Schizosaccharomyces pombe: one gene and its partner. Changing the gene in region 1 together with any one later gene gives a genetic interaction. Each region holds a gene or a part of one and is shown on either strand. Other genes may lie near its edges.

The links.
Region 2: mutations in abz2 (region 1) and alm1 are lethal when combined (synthetic lethality), as found in Schizosaccharomyces pombe (one study listed by BioGRID).

Annotation. Positions count from the first base shown.
Region 1 is NC_003423.3:2,346,410-2,350,010, reverse strand, and holds abz2 (4-amino-4-deoxychorismate lyase), read right to left. Parts: upstream 1,953-3,601; 5' UTR 1,840-1,952; exon of another isoform or gene 1,732-1,839; 5' UTR 1,728-1,731; coding exon 1,554-1,727; exon of another isoform or gene 1,507-1,553; coding exon 1,200-1,506; exon of another isoform or gene 1,156-1,199; intron 1,114-1,155; coding exon 899-1,113; 3' UTR 805-898; downstream 1-804. Other genes in the region: SPOM_SPBC19G7.04 (protein-DNA covalent cross-linking repair protein), read right to left, coding at 1-314, 357-400; rps3002 (40S ribosomal protein eS30), read left to right, coding at 576-614, 664-792, 916-933; msh2 (DNA mismatch repair protein), read left to right, coding at 2,469-2,499, 2,543-2,625, 2,720-3,601.
Region 2 is NC_003424.3:3,190,795-3,198,567, reverse strand, and holds alm1 (nucleoporin Alm1), read left to right. Parts: upstream 1-1,800; 5' UTR 1,801-1,852; coding exon 1,853-7,036; 3' UTR 7,037-7,121; downstream 7,122-7,773. UniProt on the Schizosaccharomyces pombe protein: Maintains the proteasome and its anchor cut8 at the nucleus envelope and is required for kinetochore component proteostasis. Proper kinetochore stoichiometry ensures the correct attachment of kinetochores to spindle microtubules during cytokinesis.

The DNA of each region.
Region 1 (3,601 bases):
ACGACTTTCGTTTAGCAGCTGAAGAAATTTGGGGCGCTTTTTCTTTTAATTTTAATACAGATTGATATTTTTCATTGACCGCAATCCCCGTCGAGATAACATTTTTATCCTCTGTATTGTTTTCACGGTTACAATCACGATATTGAGACAAATGCGACGCTCTAAGGGTTTTGAAGTTCCGTTGGGAAATATTTGAAGATATAGCACTACCAAAATTTTGACCGTTTTCTGAAATGTGTTGTTTGAAAGGACATTTATCATGAATACTTGTTGAACAAGTAGATGAATTGATCGGGCTTGCTAGCAAGGGAATACTAAATATTGTTATAATTTGTTCTTATATATTATTTTCTTACTAGTTAATAAACTCAATATCGTCTTCCTCGTCGTTTAGTGACATGCTGTTTGAAACTTGCATTGTTCAACCTGAGTAAACAAAAGGTGTAAACAAATAGCAACCAAATGTCAATAATCATTGTTACTCTTTCAGGTAGCATATTCGTGACTGCTTTTTTGCTGACATTTCGAATATTTCGCAATACCCTAAGAATGGTAACGCAGCAACTACCAACAACATGGGTAAAGTTCACGGATCTCTCGCTCGTGCAGGAAAGGTGTGTATTTAATATAGGTAGAAGTTTACAGGCATTAACATTTTGTCAGGTTAAATCTCAAACCCCCAAGGTTGAAAAGCAAGAGAAGCCCAAGCAGCCCAAGGGCCGTGCTTACAAGCGTCTTCTCTATGTTCGTCGTTTTGTCAACGTTACCAACATGGTCGGTGGCAAGAGAAGAGTAAGTATTAAAATTTAATACAGTTGTTGAAATTCAATTCAGATTAGCGAGTACTTGATACGTTGATTGAAACATTCGTGTTATTTATATTATTGTTGATTAATTGCTAACTTAATTTTTCAGATGAATCCTTCTTCTTAAGCAGTTCGCACGCTTTTTCTGGCTGTATTATTAAAACTCCTTTACATACCTTACGAAATGAGTTAAATAAAAGAACTTGCTCACCATTTTTTAAATTATCTTTTTGTAATAGTCCTTTATCGTCTTCATGTATACTTCCATTTTCTAGTAAATTTTTTCTCATAGTACCCGATAGAAGACCTGTATAAAGGAGGTTAATTAAATATCTGGCTTATTCAAGCTTTTAAAAAATGTGTAAAAAAGACATTAGTTATCTCGGTACTTACCATGCTTGAGGCTGGGCGTTATCCATTGGCCATTCCGGTGAAAAGCAACATTAAATATTGTTGCTTCTGTTACAAACCCTTGATGGTTGTATAACAGAACGTCTTGTGCTTTTGAGTATTGGGCATCATTGCGGTTCATTGCTTCAATGTAAATTGCTCGGTTGGTCATCTTATTAATGCAGGACGGGTTTTTCTCGGTAGAACTTGGTTGCTTATCCAGAATTAATGTGTACGGTGCTTTTTCTAAAGTTTGAATAGGAACAATTTGAACAGTAACGTCTCCAGCTTTAGAAAGTTCCCACCTTACCTATTATGTTTAGATCAATGTATAAAGTTTATAGCAAGCATACTTACCCTTGCCATGGAAGTATCCTGAACCGCTTCTCGTAATTTATTTTCGATGTATTGCTCTCCAGGCCAAGAGTATCCAAGAGACTTTGCCGAAGCTTTCATTCGCTGCAAGTGGCTTGGCAGCAAAAACAGTTCTCCATCATAGAGAGTGGTTTCAAATAAATTTGATTCTTCCATTCCACTGTGCTGGTCAGAATTATTCTAAAGTAAAAAAACCCAAAGAGTAGAAAGACTTAGAATTTCATATTTATTGACAATAGAATTTAGTGACAAAAATTCAAAAACTTACAAACTAAATCCTTGACTATACTACTTATCAACTGATGTAGTTAGTGGTAGCAAAAATCGATTGCTCAGGCACAGTATATTGTGTGTAAGTTGTATAGTAGTGGAGAAACTTCGAAAAAATATCAACAGAAGAGAGAACTTATGAGTAGCACACTTAGAAAATTGGACACCTCGTTGGTTTTTATTTATTTATTTATTTTTTTAAAATGAAGTCGAATCCATGCCATTACTACTATTACTAAATTAACAAAACAGCCATTTTAAATATTTGCATATGATAAATTTTGTAAACACTATAATATAATTTATTGGTGTTTAATAGTTCGAATGCAAAGTTGAAATACTTAAACAACAAGGCATTTAATTAAATAGATTAATTTTTAAGATTCAATTTATTAGCTTAGATGAATTTTTTAGTATGTTTGACTAGTTCTGTGTCATATAACTTTGGCAGCTACCAATCTCCCACTGTGTTACTTTCGACGTCGGTCCTTCGTTATTTAACATTCTTTAAATCTATTCCTTTTTTTGAGGTTTTTTATTTATCCTTTTTGAGGACTTAACTGTGGCAAGGAGTTTCTTCTCCTGTTTTATACATTTCGCGTTCGCGCTTTAGAACATTCAATCAATATGTCTTCTAGAAACGCTTCAATTGCTAATGGTTTGTCAAGGGGTTACTTCTTTGAACTAATATTTTAAAACAGAAAGAACTGATGAGGCAAGGATGTTTAATTTTTATGAAAAAATGCCTAAAGATACAAACACAGTGCGTGTATTTGATCGAGGGGTAAGTATTGATGAATAGAAAAATTTACTTAAACTTCGTAAAAAATAACTTGAAATATTATTATTTTTTAATCCAATCTAACACTGTTTTCTAGGAATTTTACGTTGCAATAGGAGAAGACGCTTCGTTTGTTGCTCAAAACGCGTATCACACTACTTCGGTGCTAAAACACCACAATGTGTCTAATACATCTTATTGTAACTTATCTCCTTCACTATTTATTAAGTTTGCGGAAGATGTTTTAAGCAACCTTGCAAAGAGAGTTGAAATTTGGGGAGCCAATTCCGCAAAGACAGGATTTGAATTGTTGAAGCAAGCTAGTCCTGGAAATATGCAAATGCTGGAAGATTTGCTTGTTAGTGAGAATTATCAAGAATCCACAGCCATTAGTGATAGCTCAGTTAGTTCGGTTTTGTTGGCTGTTACTACTAGGGTTAAACAAGATCAGCGAATAATTGGCGTTGCTTTTATAGATCCAATTTTAAAAAAATTAGGTGTTTCAGAATTTGTTGACTCAGATGCTTATACGAACTTTGAAGCTCTCATAGTGCAAGTTGGAGCGAAAGAGTGCATAATATCGCAATCTGGGCATGAATCGACGAATGGCAATTCAGCCGTTTCTATTAACACGGCAGAAATCAATCGTCTTCGAAATATTATTGAAGGTTGTGGCGCATTAGTTACAACTATAAGAAGCTCTGAATTTTCGGCTCGAGATGTTGAACTTGAGCTCTCAAAAGTGCTCGACAGTCCAGTTACACATGCTCTTGTTCCAGAACTAGGTCTACAATTAGCAATGGCATCCTGCAATGCATTGCTTCGCTATTTAGGACCTGCGTTACTAAACCCTGACATGGAAGACGACCGTGAAAACACATCTCGAAAGCTCCATCTGTATCATCACAACTTGGAACAATACATGCGATTAGATATTGCAGCAGTTCGTTCTCTTAACCTACTTCCTCCTCCCAATGGT
Region 2 (7,773 bases), on another chromosome or scaffold:
GCAGTGGTAGCAGTGGATCCAAAAGCTGGCTTGGGAGCATTATTAGCATTTTGCCCAAAAGAAAAACCTCCGCTGGCAGGAGTAGTGGTCGTGGAACCAAAACCGAATCCAGAAGGCTTAGTGGCTGCATTATTATTGGCACCAAAGGAAAAATTACTACTATTGTTACCACCAAAAGTAGATGTTGGAGCGGTGTTATTATTTGCCGTATTATTATTAGCGCCAAAACCAAACAAACCTGTACCCATGGTACCTGAATTGGGTTGGTTATTCGTGTTGCTTCCAAACCCCCCAGTAGAAGAACCAAATCCCGTACCCGTACCAGTGGCAGCACCACCAAATAAGCCACCCGTAGTTTGACCTGTTCCTGTATTGGTTGCGTTATTTGAACCAAAAAGACCCGTTCCTGTACCAGTATTGGTAGTGTTAGTGGTTGAGCCAAAACCTGAAAAAGCTGGTTTTTGTTGATTAAATGTAGAGCCACCAAAAAGACCGGTTGAAGGAGTTGAGGTGGTATTATTGTTTTGACCAAATAACCCACCGGATGCATTATTTGTTCCAGAACCAAACCCTGTATTGGTAGTGTTACTACCAAATGCAGATCCACCGCCAAAGAGACCGGAACCAGGAGTGGTATTAGTAGCATTCGATGTACCAAACGGTGTTGCATTATTTGTGGTACCTGACAAATTCTGACCAAACGGAGTAGTTGAAGCTCCAAATGCGGGTGTTGAACCAAATGCAGAAGTAGTGTTCGTACTAGAAGCATTGCCAAAACGTCGTCCTTGATTATAGTCTTGTAAACGCAACTCTTCAAATGAATAAGATCTATAAGCGGGCATACAAGTTATAGACTGGAAGACACTAGTACCGTTTGTTTGAGGGTCTTTTTCAGAAGTTACCGCATAAGGTGGGTTAGCTGTACCATTCACAGCGTTTGCATTGCTTGAGACAAATCCAGAGGTTCCGAAAGCGTTGGTCGTAGCGGGTGTAGTGGACGAACCAAACAAGCCACCACCAGTACCTTGCGAACCAAACCTGTATTTCCAGCAGTATTGCCAGCGTTATTTTGAGAACCAAACAAGCCACCACCGGTACCAGTATTCGATGCAGTGTTACCGAACCCTGTTGAACCAGCGTTCGATCCAAAAGAAAATGACGTTCCAGTATTTGCATTGTTGTTGGCGGTATTTGATCCAAAGAGGCCACCACCACTAGGATTTGTGGCGTTGTTCGTGCCTCCAAAAGCAGGAGTATTGGATTGGCCAAACATACCTGTCCCAGAGGACATTCCAAAACCTGTGCCACCAGTCGTGGTAGTGTTGTTTCTATTTCCAAATAGTCCACCGTTCGTATTTGATCCAAACAAGGGTTGAGTAGTGTTCTGCCCAAAGCCAGTTGTAGAAGTGTTTTGGGAACCAAACAAAGTGTTCCCTGGAGTATTGGAGTTGGAACCAAATAACCCACCAGTTTGTTGATTATTTTGACCGAAAGCACCGGTTCCTCCTCCAAATCCGGAAGAATTGTTTTGTCCAAACATCACTAGGATGATATTTGATTAAATAATTAGTAAAGTCACCAAAATTGGTGTTGTGTGGACGACAGGTCCGAATAGTGCACTGCTACTCAAGATACGTTCAAGGCGTGATAGAGAAGAATACAGAAATTTAGCTTTTTTTTTAATACTCACGGTAATTACAATTTTTAAATTTGCTTCATTTGTTTTTCTCAACGTAATTGTCGCATTTCTTCTAACGTGGTATTATTTCTGTACATCGAGGTTGATCACTTACTTCTCGTATACGTACACTGGTGCTTCATAAGTCATCGAACGTTGATTCCAGGCTAGAAAATGTCTTCGGGGGGACTTGAAGATGATATTCAGCTGGTACACGAGTTTTTGGATGTATCTTTTGAGGATATAAAACCCCTGGTGTCTGTCAATGGTTTCGCTGTATTTATATCTGCTATTAAAACCAAGGTTAAAGACATAAACGCTTTAAAGGATCAGCTTGTCCTTCAAGAAGTCAACCATGAGCATAAGGAGAATGTTCTTACGAAGAAGATTAACTTTCTTGAGCAACAACTTCAATCTTCTAATAATCAAGCAGAGGAATCACGTAATCTTATATCGGTATTGAGAAATGAGAACGAATCGCTGAAAACCAACTTGGAGAATCAAAATAAGCGCTTTGATGCATTGACTACTGAGAACCAGTCGCTTAGAAGGGCTAACTCTGAATTACAAGAGCAATCTAAGATTGCTTCTGAGCAGCTTTCAATCGCGAAAGATCAAATCGAAGCCCTACAAAATGAAAATTCACATTTAGGAGAGCAAGTCCAGAGTGCGCATCAAGCATTGTCTGATATTGAAGAAAGAAAGAAACAGCACATGTTTGCTAGCAGTAGCAGTCGTGTCAAGGAAGAGATACTCGTTCAGGAGAAAAGCGCTTTAGTCTCTGATTTGGCTAGTTTGCAATCAGATCATTCGAAAGTTTGCGAAAAATTAGAAGTTTCATCTCGTCAAGTTCAAGATTTGGAGAAAAAGCTTGCTGGGCTTGCCCAACAGAATACAGAGCTTAACGAAAAAATACAGCTTTTTGAGCAAAAGCGGAGCAATTATTCCTCCGATGGGAACATATCAAAAATCCTTGAAACCGACCCCACTTCAATCAAAGAACTTGAAGAAGAAGTGGAAACTCAGAAACGACTTACAGCTCTTTGGGAGTCTAAATCTTCAGAGTTGCAATCAGAGGTTGCTGCACTTCAAGAAAAGCTCACTTCGCAACAAAGTCTATACAATAATGTGACCGAAGAGTTAAATAATAACAAGCAACAGCTATTGATTTCGGAGAATAGTTTGCGGGAACTGCAAGAGAAATATGATAGTGTAGTTAGTGAACTACAAGTGGTTAAAGAAAATAAAAATACCTCTGTTTCAGCTGGTGTAGGTTTGTTTTCTCCTTTGGCGCAAAAGTTAAGCGCCGTTCAAAATCCCGAATTTTCATTTACGAAAGTATATTCGGACAATATGAAACTCCAACAGAAGGTTTCTAGCTTAAAGCTTCAGCTAGACCGCTTGACTAACAAATTCTCCTCATTTTGTGAACAAGTTAAACAAAGGATTCCAGTTGTCAAACAACAGAGGAGTGAAATCGTTAGGAATAACATTTATATGAATTTTCTTAGCGAATCTTTGGAAACATCTAACAACAACCTAACCAAAGTACAAGCAGAGCTTTTATCGACCAAAATGCGCCAAGAAGCTTGTTACTTGCAGCTCACCGCATCTCGTACTCAATGCAGTGATCTTTCTCGAGAAGTTATTTGTCTCATGGCCGAACTTGATCATTTGAATGAAACTAAATCAAGAAACGTTCCCGCTACTGTGCAAGTTGCGCTTGATGAATACGCTCAAAATCCCTCTACTGCATCTGAGACACTAGTAAACAAGGAGCTTGCTAATTTTTCATCTATAAAGGAAGCTGTTTCGAAAACTCTAGAACTGCGGGAAAAAGTGCGGGCCCTTGAATGCGATGTTGAAATCCAAAAGCAAACTGTCCAATATCAAATTTCCAATGCAGTTAAAGAAAATTCAAATACACTTTCAGAGCAAATCAAAAATTTGGAAAGTGAGTTAAATTCGTCAAAAATAAAAAATGAGTCCTTACTTAATGAACGAAATTTACTGAAAGAAATGTTAGCTACTTCTCGAAGCAGTATTTTGTCTCACAATTCTTCCGCGGGCAATATTGATGACAAAATGAAATCCATTGATGAATCTACAAGAGAACTTGAGAAAAATTACGAAGTTTATCGTAACGAAATGACAGCTATTCAGGAATCCTTGTCTAAGCGAAATCAGGATTTGTTGAGTGAGATGGAAGCAATACGTAAAGAGTTAGAAAATTCCAAATATCAGCAGCAGTTATCTACTGATAGATTAACTAATGCTAATAATGACGTTGAAGCCTTTAAAAAGGAAGCCAAGGAGCTTCGTAGTATTAATCAAAATTTACAGGATATAATTAGTCGACAGGATCAGAGAGCCAGTAAATTTGCCGAAGAATTATTACATGTTAACTCACTTGCTGAAAGATTAAAAGGTGAACTAAATGCTTCGAAGGGTGAAAAAGATTTACGGAAAAGGACGCAAGAGCGTTTAATATCTGAAAACGATAAACTTTTGGCTGAGCGCGAGAGACTAATGAGTCTTGTATCAGATCTTCAAACTTTTCTTAACCAGCAACAGCTATCTGATGCTGCTAGAAAAGTAAAATTTGAATCTGAGAAGGAAAGCTTAAGCCTTTCCTTGCAGAAGTTGAAGGAGTCAAATGAAAAGATGAGTAATGATCTTCATTCTCTACAGAAATCTTTGGAAAAGAGCGGAATTGAGTACTCCAGCAGGATTAAGACATTAATGCTCGAAAAACAATCGTTAAGTGAAGACAACAGGAAATTGTTAGATAATCAACAAATGATGGAAATAAAACTCCAAGAATTAAACGGCGTCATTGAACTTGAAAAACAAAGATTTTCTACTTTGGAAGCCAAGTTTACACAGCAAAAAAATACGTCCTATAGCGAAAGGGAAGCTTTGCTAGAATCATCGCTTAGTGACTTGCAATCTAAACATACTTCCTTAGAATCCCAATACAATTATTCTTTAAGGAATATTGAACAGTTACAGGCCGCAAGCAAACTCGCCGAAGAAATGGTTGAAAGAGTTAAAACTGAGTATGATGAGTATCGATTGCAAACTTCAGAGTCCTTGGAAAAAAATCATTTAAAAATCACTTCTCTTGAACAAAGGATAGTTATTCTACAAGATGAGATAGCTTCTTCTTCTTTACGCTGTGAGAATATTACTAAAGATAGCGAAACAAGAGTTGCCTTGCTTTTAGAGGAAAATAAGCATCTTAACAATGAGCTTTCGTCACACCGAAATGCTGAAAAGCAACATTTAGAGAAGGAGAATGATTATAAACAACAGTTGTTGTTGGTAACTGAAGATTTAAGAAAAACTCGTGAAGATTATGAAAAGGAACTTTTAAGACATGCCGATGCTAGATCGACTCTTCAAAAACTGCGCGAGGATTACACGAAGGCATTAGAACAGGTTGAAGATTTGAATAAAGAAATAGCCTTAAAGGCCGGTATAAACGAATCTCAGCCCTTTCCCATTAGTGAAAAAGAAGATCCTTTGAGACAGGAAGTTTATGTCCTCAAAAAGCAAAACGCAATGCTTTTAACCCAACTTCAATCTTCCAATCTCAACTTTGCAGAAATAACTAGCCCATCCCCGGATTTAGATTCTGTTATGAAATTAGGATTATCAGATTTACAGAATCATGTGAAGCGTATATCCAAAGAAATGGAGATTATTTCATGCCAACGACAATTATTATTCCTTGAAAATAAGAAACTCAAGCGAACCGTTGAATCATCGAATCGAGTTATCGCCGATCTGCAAAGAGGTATAACGGAAAAGGATGTTAGCAGTACTTCTGAATCCGTTGGGGAACGTTCAAATTATCTAAACATGGTTGCTTTATTAAATGAGAGCAACAAATCTCTCCGAGAAAATTTAGAAAGGAACGAGGAAGTTATCACAGAGTTAAGAGAGAAAATAGAAACTCTTAAAACTGATTTGGCGAATTTTAGACTTAATAAAGAACAACTAGAATCACAGCTTCAAACAGAGAAAGCAGCTGTAAAAAAGCTTGAAAACAGCAACGAAGAATACAAGCGTCATAACCAAGAAATATTACTATCTTTGAACAGTAGCACATCTACGTCTAGTGATGCTTCACGCTTAAAGAATGAACTTGTTTCCAAAGAAAACTTAATAGAGGAGTTAAATCAAGAAATTGGTCATTTGAAATCTGAATTGGAAACTGTTAAATCAAAAAGCGAAGATTTGGAAAATGAGAGAGCGCAAAACCAATCCAAGATTGAACAATTAGAGTTGAAGAATACAAAACTAGCAGCTGCTTGGCGAACTAAATATGAGCAGGTAGTTAACAAGAGCTTAGAAAAGCACAATCAAATACGTCAACAACTTTCGCAAAAGACTTCTGAATTAGAAGCCAAGGTTGCGGAATGTCATCAGCTCAATGAACAACTCAACAAACCTTCTGCAACCCCCACTGCTACTACACAGTCTGAACCAAGTACGGTGTCACTGGAAGAATTCAATAGCACTAAGGAAGAACTATCTTCTACACAGCGAAAGCTAAGTGAAATTATGGATATCTTAAATACTACGAAGGAGGAGCTTGAGAAGGTCAGACAAAATAGTAATAAATCTGAGGGAACCAGTAAGGATACTGAAATACCCAACGAAGAAGAAATGGAAAGGAAGAAAGTCATGCAACAGGAAGTTTTGAGGTTACGTTCGAGAATTGCAAAAGAGCTACAGAAAAACGAATTACTCAGGAAACAAAATCAGGTTTTACAAGATCAAGTGAAAGCTTTGCAAGAGACAGTTGTGTCATCCGAGGAAGCAGAGTCCGCTTCGGTACATGCTGATACTAAAGATTTGGAAAACTTAAAAAAGACAGAAGAGATGTTATCAGTTACATTTCAAGTAATCTTCAACGAGTCCATATCTGACTTTTCGACTTCCACTGCCGACTTTACTACTTTTGTGCAAAAGGAATGGGAAAAGCGCAGAGAAATTTTACAGAAGGATGTTGAGGAACAAGTTGCTCAGTCGCATCAAAAACAACTAGATAACATCCGAAAAGAACTCGAGATGCGTAACAAGTTGAAGTTGAGCATGCTGGAAAAGAACTTAGCTAGAGTGCGAGCAGAGTTGGAGCAATCGAAGAAAAAAGATAGCCCTGCAATTTTAAGTTTGGAAGCTTCTAAAAACACTGATTCCAATAAAAGCAATTCTGAAGTCCCAGCAGCTCAAGTTAAAGAGAAAAAGTTAATCGCCAAAACTCACTCTGTTGACACTAATTCTCCTCCTAAACGGTCCAGTTCAGACGCTGGTATGGATGTTTCCAATGATGTTAAGAAAGCCAAATAGTAAAATATGAATTTTTTGGTATAATGCCCTTTTTAATGTTTCTTAAGAGTTTGTAAACAGATAATAAAATAGGTTAGCTGCATAATTATTATTTCTGGTTTCCAATAAAAAAAACGACTTTAATTTTATTATAATAAAAAGCTTTGTATTGTAATTTAATATTTTGATATTTTTTGAAGAGCTATAGATATTTTGCGCAACTAATGTCCTTATTCAGATATGTAAGCTACGCAGTTTGGTATCTGATTTAAGGATACGTAGAACTGCGGTGAGTTTTCCTTGTGGTCTATTATATTACAATACACAGGTTGTATAAGTAGCAACTGAGTATAGGTATTGTATTAACTGGGTTATAATGTTACCTATCACTAATATAGCTCATAACTGAACTGAGGAACGAGGTTCAGTTGTAACGGTATTTATAATATTTCTAAATAGTTGTTATCAACGGGTAACTATGTATATAGACGGATAGTTACCCGTGATTATCAATAAACGGATCTTAGCTAGTATTCCAACATATGACATATAGTGATACGCAACGTAGTGTATCATAGCGTAGTGTAGTATTGCTGACAAGATAAAATAAATAATGACGTTTTCGCGTGTTCTTAAGCTTAAGAACGTAACGCGCAAAAACTCATTATATGACATCCATATTTAACCCACTGGAGAACTGACCCAAAATAGAAAATTTCGGTTTTCATTGGTTTTTATTTATATTGAATTCTTGGGTT